Neurospora crassa OR74A: one gene and its partners. The protein of the gene in region 1 interacts with the protein of each later gene in a pairwise test. Links are inferred from orthologs where the notes say so. Each region holds a gene or a part of one and is shown in the gene's direction. Other genes may lie near its edges.

What was found.
Region 2: the proteins of NCU04041 (region 1) and NCU00404 interact in binary tests that used the Saccharomyces cerevisiae proteins (3 or more experiments, as listed by UniProt). The link is inferred for Neurospora crassa OR74A from reciprocal best matches to the Saccharomyces cerevisiae genes MAK5 and RPF1.
Region 3: the proteins of NCU04041 (region 1) and NCU09131 interact in binary tests that used the Saccharomyces cerevisiae proteins (3 or more experiments, as listed by UniProt). The link is inferred for Neurospora crassa OR74A from reciprocal best matches to the Saccharomyces cerevisiae genes MAK5 and NOP12.

What each region holds. Positions count from the first base shown.
Region 1 is NC_026506.1:2,535,175-2,539,205, forward strand, and holds NCU04041 (ATP-dependent RNA helicase mak-5), read left to right. Parts: upstream 1-1,231; 5' UTR 1,232-1,314; coding exon 1,315-1,539; intron 1,540-1,600; coding exon 1,601-3,793; 3' UTR 3,794-3,929; downstream 3,930-4,031. Other genes in the region: NCU04040 (tRNA (uridine-2'-O-)-methyltransferase TRM7), read right to left, coding at 1-522, 592-694. UniProt on the Saccharomyces cerevisiae protein: ATP-binding RNA helicase involved in the biogenesis of 60S ribosomal subunits and is required for the normal formation of 25S and 5.8S rRNAs. Required for the maintenance of dsRNA killer plasmid.
Region 2 is NC_026503.1:3,739,871-3,743,869, reverse strand, and holds NCU00404 (RNA processing factor 1), read left to right. Parts: upstream 1-1,485; 5' UTR 1,486-1,623; coding exon 1,624-2,344; intron 2,345-2,416; coding exon 2,417-2,592; intron 2,593-2,672; coding exon 2,673-2,934; intron 2,935-3,004; coding exon 3,005-3,129; 3' UTR 3,130-3,499; downstream 3,500-3,999. Other genes in the region: NCU00405 (glycyl-tRNA synthetase 1), read right to left, coding at 1-819. UniProt on the Saccharomyces cerevisiae protein: Essential protein. Required for biogenesis of the 60S ribosomal subunit.
Region 3 is NC_026501.1:5,442,398-5,446,363, forward strand, and holds NCU09131 (nucleolar protein 12), read left to right. Parts: upstream 1-1,166; 5' UTR 1,167-1,468; coding exon 1,469-1,479; intron 1,480-1,542; coding exon 1,543-1,606; intron 1,607-1,667; coding exon 1,668-2,777; intron 2,778-2,846; coding exon 2,847-3,446; 3' UTR 3,447-3,902; downstream 3,903-3,966. Other genes in the region: NCU09130 (hypothetical protein), read right to left, coding at 1-564.

The sequences.
Region 1 (4,031 bases):
CAGGCTTGAGGACGCAGAGGGCGAGGTTGAGGGCTGCGAAGAGGAGCTGTGACTGGACGTAGATGTCAAGATCATGCAGGCCTGTGACGTCGGGCGCACCATCGCTGATGACCAGATCCACTGGGTGTGAGGCTTGCGGGTTCATGGTGCTTGGGTCGAAATCGGGGTCCAACGCCTTAAGCAAAAGCGGAACGGTGGCGGGATGTGTGATGTCGGCTCGGAGAGTGATGATTCCTGGCAGAGGGCTGATGGGCTGCAAGTCGATGGACACAATCTTGACCTGTTCCCTGGGAGCCGGCGTGCTCTCCTGAGTCGCCTGCACCCTCTGAACCTCATCCTGAGCGTCTTGCTTCTCGGGAAAGACGTTGAGCATCTGTTGGCGGAACTTGGCCTCACGGTCTTGCCAAGCACACCGGCCGAACTTCTCTCCCTTGATGAGAACCCTCGATAGAACCTGAGACCAGGAACCGGGGGCAGCGCAGAGATCGACCACACGAGTGACATTTTCAAACAAGTTGAATTCTGATGGGAACGCTCGGTGTTAGCGGTGATACACTTCTTTACATTACATATGCAATAAACAGTTCTTACCTTCGTCTAGTTGAAGAAGCTTGAAGGCACTTCTGGCACGCCATCCTTGCTCCTTTGCAAGGCGATAGTAGGCATCACGCTTGTCTTTTGATGATTTCCCCATTTTGAATGCTTCGCTCTCACTTACTTGTGTCGAATAATGAAGTGCCGCGAGTGGGTGACGAGAGTGAATGACGGGAGCTTGTGAAAGAGACTGGGCCCCACTTTTGCCTGGTGACGGGTCGCTGTCGCTGGGCGCCGATTTGGGTCCGTCTGCTGCAAATAGTCACCGCCAAAAAGGATTCTGCCGGCATAATTATCGAGCACCTTGGCGGCCCCAGCACTCGCACACCATAGACGCGCATACTTGGAGGGAAGGACTTTGGCGATAAACGAAAGCTTTGAATCATAAGATGTCGTCTCATGTTTTGTTTCCTCCATCAAAGTCAGACTGATTGTTTCCACGTCCTATTCTGTCGGCACCCTCTACACTACAAGCTTGTTAGCCAGACCTGGAATAGGTAGGCGGTGTCATTTACAGCACATGGGCTAGCCTGTTCCAGCTAGAGGCTGCTGCAACCCAGCTGCAAGGTGGAGCCAAAATTTCCATTTCACTTTTACAGCCATTTTCACTGAGCAGTGTCAACAACACCCTTCAAATCAAAGTTCATCAGTGCATCCAACAACCTCAAGCACTCAAACCCGACACCCTTTTCCACCCGAAAACGACGACATATTCACACCATGGCCGTCGATAAGAAGCGCAAGAACACAAAAGCCCCCGCCAGCGGGCCAAAGCGCCGCAAGACGCAACCGTCGTCTAAGCAGATCAAGCGACCTGTTTCCGTTGATGCGCTGGCATGGAAGACGGTCGACATTCCTGAAATGTTCGATGATGCGGAGGGTTTCTTTGGTTTGGAGGAAATTACCGGTGTTGACATTGTAAAGGATGGCGATGTTGTCAAGTTCGTAAGTTGGGTCATGGATGATGACAGCGACAGGACATGAATGAACTCACATATGTCTTTAGATGGCTGCGGTCCCCAAGTCGGAGGCAGAGGTAGAAGATGACGGCGAAGAGTTTGGTGGTTTCGACGACGAAGAGACACCGAAACCTGCTGGAAATGCGGACCAGGAAGTCAAGACATCAGAAACCAAGGCCGAAGCTGCGAGTACTCCAGCCAAGGAAAAGAAGGCCTCCAAGGACCAGAGGAAGCCAAAGGAGCAGCAAAAGCAGCAAAAGCAGCAAAAGCAACAGCCAAAGAAGGAGCAGCCAAATAAGGCAGCGAATAAGAAGAACGCCGAGGACAAGAAGAAGGCCCGCAAGAACGAGAAAACTACTGTCGAGCCGAAGGACCCCGAACTAGAAACCGATCTTTTCACCAAACTGGAGGAGCTTCCTGAGCCTGAAGAGGAGGAAATTGATATGTCCGAATGGGTGCCACTCGATTTGTCACCTCGTATGATCTCGTCCATCGCCAAACTCAGGTTCTCCAAGCCCACCGTGATTCAGTCCAAGGCTATTCCCGAGATCATGGCTGGTCACGACGTTATCGGAAAAGCATCCACCGGTTCGGGAAAGACGTTGGCATTCGGAATTCCCGTCATCGAAAGCTGGTTGAGCGCTGCTGAGACGAGGAAGCAGAACAAGGAAGAGAGAAAGGGCGCTACAGCGCTGATTTTGTCACCCACCAGAGAACTTGCCCAGCAGATCAGAGACCATCTTCAAGCGCTTTGCAAAGGTCTTCCTACAGCACCTTACATTTGCTCGGTTCTTGGTGGCATGGCCGTACAGAAGCAAAAACGACAGCTCCAGGTCGCCGATATCGTCATTGCGACCCCGGGCAGAATGTGGGAGGTTATGAGCTCAGATAACTCTGTGCTCGCTTCTCTGAGGAACATCTCCTTCCTCGTGTTGGATGAGGCAGATAGACTTCTTAAGGACGGTCACTTCAAGGAGGCCGAGGAGATTTTCAAGGCTCTTGACAGGCCACCGGTGGAAGAGAACAATGAGGATCAGAAGATGGGCGGTACTGATGAGGAGGGACAGGAAGAGGAAGAAGAGGACAGCGAGGAGGAGGAGGAGGAGGAGGAAGAGCACGTCAACAAGAGGCAGACTCTCATTTTCTCCGCCACGTTCAACAAGAACTTGCAGCAAAAGTTGGCCGGAAAATCCAAGTTCAAGGCGACGAGCACCCAGGACATGGAGTATCTTCTCCAGAAGCTGAACTTCCGCGAAACCCCCAAGTTTGTCGACGCCAATCCCGTCCACCAAATGGCCGAGAACCTCAAGGAGGGTCTCATTATGTGCGGCGACATGGAGAAGGATCTCTACCTCTATGCCACTCTCATGCTCCAGCCCACACGGCGCGCGCTTGTATTCACCAACTCGGTCAACTCTGTCCGTCGCCTAACCCCCCTCCTCGAGAACCTCAATCTTCCAGCCTTCCCTCTCCACTCGGGCATGATCCAGCAAGCCCGTCTGCGCTCTATCGACCGCTTCAAGGCCAACGAAGGCGCAAAGAAAAAGAACGGTTCTGCAGCTATCCTGGTCGCTACCGATGTTGCTGCCCGTGGTCTCGATATCCCCGACGTCGACCTCGTCATCCACTACCACGTCCCGCGCGCCGCCGAGGACTACGTGCACCGCTCCGGCCGTACCGCCCGTGCCTCCAACTCGGGCACGAGCATCCTGCTCTGCGGGCCCAAAGAAGCCGTGCCGACGCAGCGCCTCGTTGCCAAGGTGCACGCCCAGGCCGAGGTCAAGGCCGGCAACTCGGGCAACAACACCAAGAAGCTCGTTTCGAGCGGACTTCGCACCATCGATATCGACCGGCGCATCGTCGCCAAGTTGCGGGAGCGCGTCGACTTGGCCAAGAAGATCGCGGATGCGGTGCAGGCCAAGACCATGGGTGGAAAAGAGGACGATTGGATGAAGAAGGCGGCAGAGGACTTGGGCGTCGACTATGACTCGGAAGAGCTTGAGAAGGCGGGCAAGTGGGGTGGCAAGGGTAGCTCCAAGAAGCAGAAGCAGAAGGAGGCACAGCAGATGAGCAAGGGCGAGTTGGCGTCGCTGAGGGCTGCGTTGAGAGACCTCTTGAGCAAGAGGATCAACACGGGCGTCAGCGAGAGGTACCTCACTGGACTGGATGTTAGTGAGCTGCTGAAGGGCGAGCAGGGGCTGTTTTTGGGCCAGGTGGACGGATTGGGCTTGGATGATTAGACGCAGATTCATGGCTGTGGTATTGCATGTTTCCTTTCACGGTTAACCATTTAATTCTGAGCGGTGATCTACATATAGTATCCGGTCTCTTCACTCTGAGTAAGATGTCTTGTATTTTTTCTCTCGTGTTTTGTTCTATAAGGCACTAAAAGAACAGTTCACGTCTTGGACTGTGCTGCCAAGTGAGACAGGGTCCATGGGTCCATCAAGGTCTCCATCTTCCCCATGGCCTAGATTC
Region 2 (3,999 bases), on another chromosome or scaffold:
GAACATAAGGTTGAAGGCCACGGGAGGCTCAGGCTGGACACCGGTGGCGGGGTTCTTCAAGTCGTACTTCTTGATGAGCTCGCCGAGCTGCTCGCCGTTGTAGTTGTCGATCTGGGCGAGGATCTCCTCGTACTCCTTGACGACGGCGTCCTCGAGCTTGACAGCCTCGGTACCCTTGGCCTTCTTCTTCTTGCGCTTAGGGTCCTCCTCCTTGTCCTCTACCTTCTGGCCGCGAGCCTCCTTGTCGCCCTTGAGGCGGGCCTCGAGAACGTCCTCGACGAAGTGGTCGGCGCGCAGAATGTCGCCGTTCTTGGGGTCCTTGCACATCCAGTCGGCGAACTTGTCGACGTGGCCGGAGGTCTTGAGAACATCGTGGGGGGTCAGGGCGGTGCAGTCAACCTCGAGCATGTCCTCCTCGAGGACAAAGTGCTTGCGCCAGATGTCGATGATGTTGGCCTGGAGGGCACAACCGGGCGGGCCATAGTCGTAGAGGCCAGCAACACCGCCGTAGATATCGAAGGAGGGCGCAAAGAACATGCGGCGGCGCAGCATGGACTCGAGAGCGCCCTTGTCGAGGGGCTGGCCCTTGAGGGTGGTGGCCGTCGAGGTCATCTTGGTGTTTTGTTTTTTGACGTAGACTTGGAAGCGATGGTGCGAGGTAGAGAGGGAGAAGGATCGGAGCGAAGTCGAAGAGATCCGCGGGATGGGCGCCGGGGTCCAAGAAGTTCGACTGGCGACGGCTCGGGTGGATAAGGTCGATTTGAATGCTTGACCAGCAACAGGAGAACGGAGGGAGGCGAGACGGGCAAGAGGTCGCATGAATTGGTCTTGTTACAGTGCTCAAGGGAACCAAGTGAGTCACGGTCGCCCACTGAGGTTTCGTCGAGGCCTTTTCAATTGAAACACGTACTTCAACCGAATCGCGGGATGATTTTTTTCTTTGGGGGGGTAGAGGGGCGCCATGGAGGGGCCGGCACCAACGACCCAGACAACCTAAGCCAAGGGACAGCGGTCCAGATTCCCGCTCTCGAGCCGCCGTCAGTGGCGGCGCGGTACGCGACAGAAGGCTCGACTCGCTGGAATCCACCAGCCATATCAGGAAGTGGAACTGCACATGCTACTGTACACTACCTCTACCTACCTAAGTAACTCCCTTACAGAAAGCGCATTCCGCTGGCTAGCGTTATTGTGACTTTTCATCGGCTAGAGGTATTGATATTTGATTATCAAGAGTCCGTGATGCCGCCGTTCTTCATCCCAAAAATTCTGCTTCCGTCCCAACTTACAGCAAGGGACGGGATGGAGTCATCCTGTGCAGGTGACAGTCAGGTAGTAGTGTACACTGAGGGGTAGCGGTACGTACCTGTCCCCGGCTGAGGCCGTGCGTTAGCTGTTGGGGTACCCTTGTAGATGCACGTCTTGGCGCCCTTGATGGCTCTGGGCCCAGAAAAAAAGTTGAAAGTTTACCGGGCCCGTTCAATTCATCCGTCAGGTAGAGGTAGCAACAACTGCCCAGCATCACGTCGAAGTTTGAACTGTGACCTGGAGAATTGATCCTACCCTACAATTTTGACACCGCGACAACCACTAATCCCACCGCCGTGTTACCACATCGTAGCCGATATGCCGTCCGGTAACAAGGGCAAAAACCGCTCCGGCGGATCGCTGTCGCTCAAGACCTCCAACAAGATTGTCAGAAAGCAATTATACGTCAAGCAAAAGAAGGAGCAGGGAAAGGAACGCCATGAGGAGCGTCACCGCCGGAGGAAGGAGGAGGCCAAGGATCCCAAACTCAGAGAAGAGCGCCTCGCAAACAACCAACCCTTGACCATTGAGAGGAAACGCGTGTGGGATGACGTTGACGACGACAGCCTGGGCGTCGCTGTGGATGTTGCCGAGCTCAAGAGGAGGCGCTTGGAGAAGGAGGAGGCCGAGGCCGCCAGGCTAGCCGATGGAGTCACGGAGGAGGATGAGGAGAAGGACGACGATGCCGATTCTATGTTGGACTCGGACGAGGAGGGTGACGACGACGACGAAGATGCCGAGGAGCGCATCGAGAGACTCAGACAGGAGCGTGCGCAGAGGAAACCCAGCATCGCTCCCTCGACCACGTCGACAAATCTAGACATGACTCCCGACTCGCTCACACGACAATTTCCCAATCTCTTCAACGAGGAACCCCCAGTCGACCCCAAGATTCTGGTCACCACCCATTTGAACGGCACCATTCACAAGGAGGCGGAGGACATTGCTGCCATCTTTCCCAACAGCACGTACATCAGACGCAGTGCGCACGCGTATGGACACAAGTATAGTGTTCGCGAGATCGCAAAGTTTGCCAAGAGTGAGTAGCGCACCCAGGTTGGAGTTTTGTTGCCCAAGAGAAAATTGCTAACACAGGCCTGAATTGTTACAGACCGTGGATACACGATTCTCATGATTGTCGGCGAAGATCTCAAGAAGCCTAGCTCCCTGACCGTCATCCATCTCAACGGCGAAGATGTTGCCCCTGGTCCTTCGTTGACATACACCATCCGGAACTACCTGCCTGGAAAGGCTCTCCTTGGCCACGGTAACCCTACAAACCACTACGTAAGCCGTCCATCCTAATCCCCAAGTCCATTAATTACAGGACATTGAGACTAAGCATTGCAACCAAAAAAAAAATACAGCCCGAGCTTCTCCTCAATGGATTCAAGACCCCTCTCGGTATCCTCGCCGCTAAATCCATGCACACCATGTTCCCTCCCAGGCCCGAGCTTTCGGGTCGCCAGGTCGTGACATTGCACAACCAGCGTGATTACATCTTCTTTCGCCGCCACCGCTACGTCTTCCGCGAGGCCCGCACGACGGAGAAGAACGTGGTTACTGCGGAGGGCAAGGAGATGGAGGGTATGCAGGGTATCCGTGCTGGTTTGCAGGAGATTGGACCCAGTAAGTCTTGCTACCGCGGAAAACAAAAGTTTTGGCGAATGAACCGAAAGTGGCTGACTTGTTTTGATAGGATTCACTCTCAAGCTTCGTAGAGTGGATAAGGGTATCGGTCGGGCTGGCAGCGAAGGAGAGGATGCTTTGAAGTGGGAGTGGAAGGCCAAGATGGAGAAGGTTCGCACGCGCTTCAACCTCTAAGGGGGCTGATCATGATAGTAGTATTGGTGATACCCTTCTTTCAGTATGCCATCGTCTCTGTTGGCACTGGAGAGTATTTGTCTTGTTCAAAGTGTGTATGTGGCGTTATCGGTTCACAAAAGGGTTTGGGAGGAAGGCATGATTCATCAACATCAGGTCACTATGACTGTACTTCAAGACTACCTATTTTCTGTGCATGTACCGCCGGTTTCCTCTCCCTTTCTACGATTTATGACCAGCCTTCTTGGCTTCCTCCTTGAGCATAGCCACTGGATATCTAACCCAGCAACGAAATCTCAGCCATTCTGCTCAGTATCATCGGCAAGAGAAGCTGGAGATGCCGCCGAGTTGCGGTGATAGTGGGCGATCCAGATGGTGTAGAGGGACGAGCCGAGGATGCCGAGAAGTGAGAAGAGGATGCCCTAGAGGGTTATGATTTCGACTTGCTTTTGGGTTTGATCTGTTGCTGAACCAGGTACGGTTTTGGTTGAAAGAGGTAAAAGATAGGATATCATAATGACTGACTATCCACACCCCGCACACGACAAGCTGGGACCAAAGCCAACATGGCTCTCTCGGGTAAGACGGAGTGGTAGAGAACGTGATTCGTCACGCCACGATTGGCGTGAGCAAGATCCAAGCGATTTGGTAGAAGGTTACAGAATTAAAAGCTATTAGCCAATGAGGAAGGATCACATCGAGGGACATGGCCACGCTGAGGGGAGTGTCTCGGGGAGAGATGGAGCGAGGACAAAGAGCGAGAGGGGAGGTCGCGAGAGGAGGAAGACGGTCAGGTAGGTGGTGAGGAAGTGGAAGGTTGCGAAGGAGAGCTGGGTTAATTGGAAGGATGGGGTGGAGAAATGGACTGAA
Region 3 (3,966 bases), on another chromosome or scaffold:
AGATCGCGCAGGTGGTAGTTTGGCAGCAAATTCAGGCTCTTCGTCACTCAGGTCTTCCGAGGCCTCTTCGTCACCCACTTCTGCTTCTTCTGAGGGAGTGTTTCGCCCGCTGGCAGTGTTTTCCGGTTCGTAATCAGATTTGATTTGCTGCTGAAGCTTGCTAGGGCTGCGCTCGAACGTCCGATCGCGGCGGTCGGTGAATTGTCGAGTGCCAGGCTCACCCGCGGTGTCTACGATGTCGCGCGATACTCGATCTTTCGGTGGTGTGTCGTAGAGCCTCTCTGTCTCTGCCTCGGAGTCATTAATATCCACGTCCGACAGCTTGCTCTCGTCGTCAGTCTCAGCGCCAAGGTCCGAGTCGACGCCATCGCGATTGTCAGTTCGGACCGATGTCTCGCGATGTTGAGAGTGGTTACTGTTCATGTCCAAATCCATGTCGTCAGGATCTCCATGCTTGTCTTCCACGTCACTAAGTGGGCTTGACACATCGCTAGGGCTGTGTTGGAGCAGAGGCGGAGGGGGGCTCGAGAGAGCCAAGGACAGCGCGGTGTCACCGGTAGCCATCGCGGATCATAGAATCCGACGAGATTGAAACTAAGCAACGACGCGCCAATGTTGGGTTGAGCAGCTGAGCAGTGGAAAGTTGGACGGCCACGTAGAATTTAGTCGTGGACGGCGGACTGGACGTCCGAACTGTACGGGCAGCTCAAGAGCAGCACCTGAAGTTGTGGCGCCACGATCAGGGTAAAGTGTGTTTATGCCGGAAGGTTAAAATGTGTGCTCGCACACAATGAAATGTCTCGGAGATATGGCTTTGTTGTCGGTACGAGGGCGCGATTGTCAAGAGATAACGTGCGGTCTGGGTAGGTAAAGTAGTAGGAAGACAGATCGGGAGAGTGAGGAGCGGGCAGTAGGTATCTGGTTGACGACCTAGACTGGGAGCTGGACAAGCGCCCACAGCACCGCACCAGCACGCAACACAAATGGGCAACCGGCAGGTTTCTGGGGGGCTCCATTGCCTGCCCGCTTGCCTGCCGCCGCCGCCCGTCTCCAACAGCCCAGCGCACCACACAAAGGCGATGGCAGGCGGTGAGTCTTGGCAGCTTTGATAACAACTGATAAGCGAGTTTTTTTTTTTAATGGGAGGATGCAAGATGTTCCACGGTCCTCGACTCGTCCTTACGATGCGCAGTGGGGAAGGTAGAAACGACGACCCTTTGAAACCCTGGACCATTGAACCTGCCTGCATAGAAACTGGTCTTGCCTTGTACAACATCCTGCTAGAAATCAGAAGTGGAAGCTTTGCAATTCGATTTTGACAGCATTTACAGCCAATCACATCTTTCGCCTCGTCGTCGAACTTCAGTTGTTTTTCCGTGCTCTTAGAACTAAGTCAATCACAAGTGCTTGATTGGCGAATCGTGCCACTTTCCCATCCATTGCGCTTACACACGACGGAAAACTCACAATGGGTAAAACGTGCGAACAGCCCTACGCTACAGTCAACGCCATTCTTCCAGTATTCTGACACCACTATTATAGTAAAGGACTCGTTGCGCCGGTGAAGAAGGTTGATCCTAGCTTGGATGCTTTGTTTGCTACCAGTGTAAGTCATCTCGCTCTGACCAGACAGGCAATTGGAAGTTTACATGGCTAATCTTGTGTAGGTTGGTCCAGCGAAGCCCCGCCCAGCTGCAAAATACTCCGAGCCCCTACCGACAAAGTCCAAGAAGGCGCCAGTACCTTCCAAGAAAGAGGAAGACGTTCAGGACGAGGGCGATGACGAGGAACTGAGCGAGCTTGACGAAGAATACGATTCCGAGGTCGGCATTGGAGAGGATGACGAAGACGACGAGGCTGAAGACAACAGTGACAGCGAAGACGAAGCCGTCGCGACCCTCGAAGTTGTTGTAGAACAAGGAAAGGTCCCGGAAGAAGATGGACCGAAACGGAAGCGGAAGCAACCCGACCAGCACGACAATCTCGAACACAAATACCTGTCCAAGTTGGCGGAGGACGATGAAGAGCCGGCTGGCAAGCGTCTCAAGGCCGACGAGCAATCCGGAGAAAAGAAGGATACCGCCAAGGCCGAGAAGAAGGACGACGACGACAGCGAGTCTGCGGATGAGGTCCCCGTTCACGAATCGCTAGCGCCCGATGCTGCCCAGAACGAGATTGAGAAGGCCAACCGCACCGTCTTCCTCAGCAATGTCGCCGTCGAGGCCGTCACCTCTCGTTCGGCCAAAAAGGCCTTGATGAAGCATATGGCTTCAGTGTTGGACAAGGAGGCGAAACCTGCGCAAAAGGTTGAGTCGATACGGTTCCGCTCGACTGCCTTCGCTACCGCTGCCATTCCCAAGCGTGCCGCTTATATCAAGAAGTCCGTGATGGAGGCCACTACGAAGTCGACAAACGCCTATGTTGTCTACAGTACCCCTGCGGCCGCTCGTCTTGCCTGCTCGAAACTCAACGGCACAATCGTGTTGGATCGCCACATCCGTGTCGACAGCGTTGCCCATCCTGCCCCGGTAGACCACAAGCGCTGCGTCTTCGTCGGTAACCTTGGTTTTGTGGATGACGAGACAGTACTGCAAGTGAAGGTAGACGAAGACGGTAAGGAGGTGACCGAGAAGAAGAAGCGGACAAAGCAGCCTATGGACGTTGAGGAAGGTCTCTGGCGGGTATTCGGTAAAGAGGGCGGCAAAGTTGAGAGCGTTCGTGTGGTCCGCGACCCTGTCACCCGTGTCGGCAAGGGCTTCGCCTACGTTCAGTTCTGCGTGAGTTATCACTTCTCTCTGTCTCTTACTTGCCCGTTATCAACTAACAACTCTGTTCCCCCTCCGTAGGATGAAAACGCCGTCGAGTCAGCCATCCTCCTCAACGGCAAGAAATTCCCGCCCATGCTCCCCCGCGAGCTACGCGTCAGCCGCTGCAAGGCCCCTCACAAGACCCTGCGTGCCATCGAAGCCAAGAAGCTCAAGGCGCAGGGTGCCGTTCCGGAAACTATGAAGAAAGGCAACAACGGGAAGAAGGGTCCTGGCTCCAAGAAATCCGACTACGCCCCCAAGATCTCCGCCGAAGCCAAGACCATCGCCGGCCGCGCTGAGAAGCTCCTCGGCAAGTTCACTGCCAGACAGGTCATCGGCTCCGACAAGAAGAAGACTTTCAACAAGCAGGACAGATACCAGGCCAACCAAAGGAGGAATCACGCCTCGGGCGCCAACACGGAGGCGACCGGTCCCAGAGTCCCGGGCGCCTACAAGTCCCCCGAGAGTTTCATTCTCGAGGGTAAGCGTGCTAGTGCGGCAGACGGAAAACCTAAGGATCTCAAGTTCAAGGGCGCCAAGAAGAACAAGGCGCCGAATGCGGGTGGTGGTAAGAAGAAGACTGGTCGTGCTGCTGCGAGGGCTTCGAAGTGGAAGGTTCAAGGGAAGGGGAAGAAATAAGTGCTAGGCCATTTGCCTGATGTTTAGGGTTGTTTGCTGGTATAGAGCCAACGGGCAGCAGCCGGCGTGGTGCGGGTGCGCGCGTTTCATCCGGCGCGGCCCGTGGATTTTCAAGCTTCAAGAAAAGGGGCAGAATTCGAAAGTGAACAGAAGCCTTCGATTCATGACGCGCGCATGTATGGATAGGATAGGATAGGCTGTAATGCAGTCATCGCATATGAAGGTATCTCAACGGACTGTCCCCAACCGCGTGATACTTCGCAATGACGGGAATGTGGAGGAAGAGCCTTGGCGCCCAGAACTAGGTACATATGTAGTTGTCTGAAATTGCAGTATAACCGTGGAACGACTGTTAAGCCTGGCTCCGTGGTTCTTGCGACAGGGAATCGCAAACAATACAAAAATTAACAACACGGCCACATTGAAAGAAAATAAAAAAGAAACAACGTGTAAAGCCTTCAAGTGCACCATACCAACTTTCTACATGATGTCTCGTGGAATTGTGGGTGAGCTGTGTAGG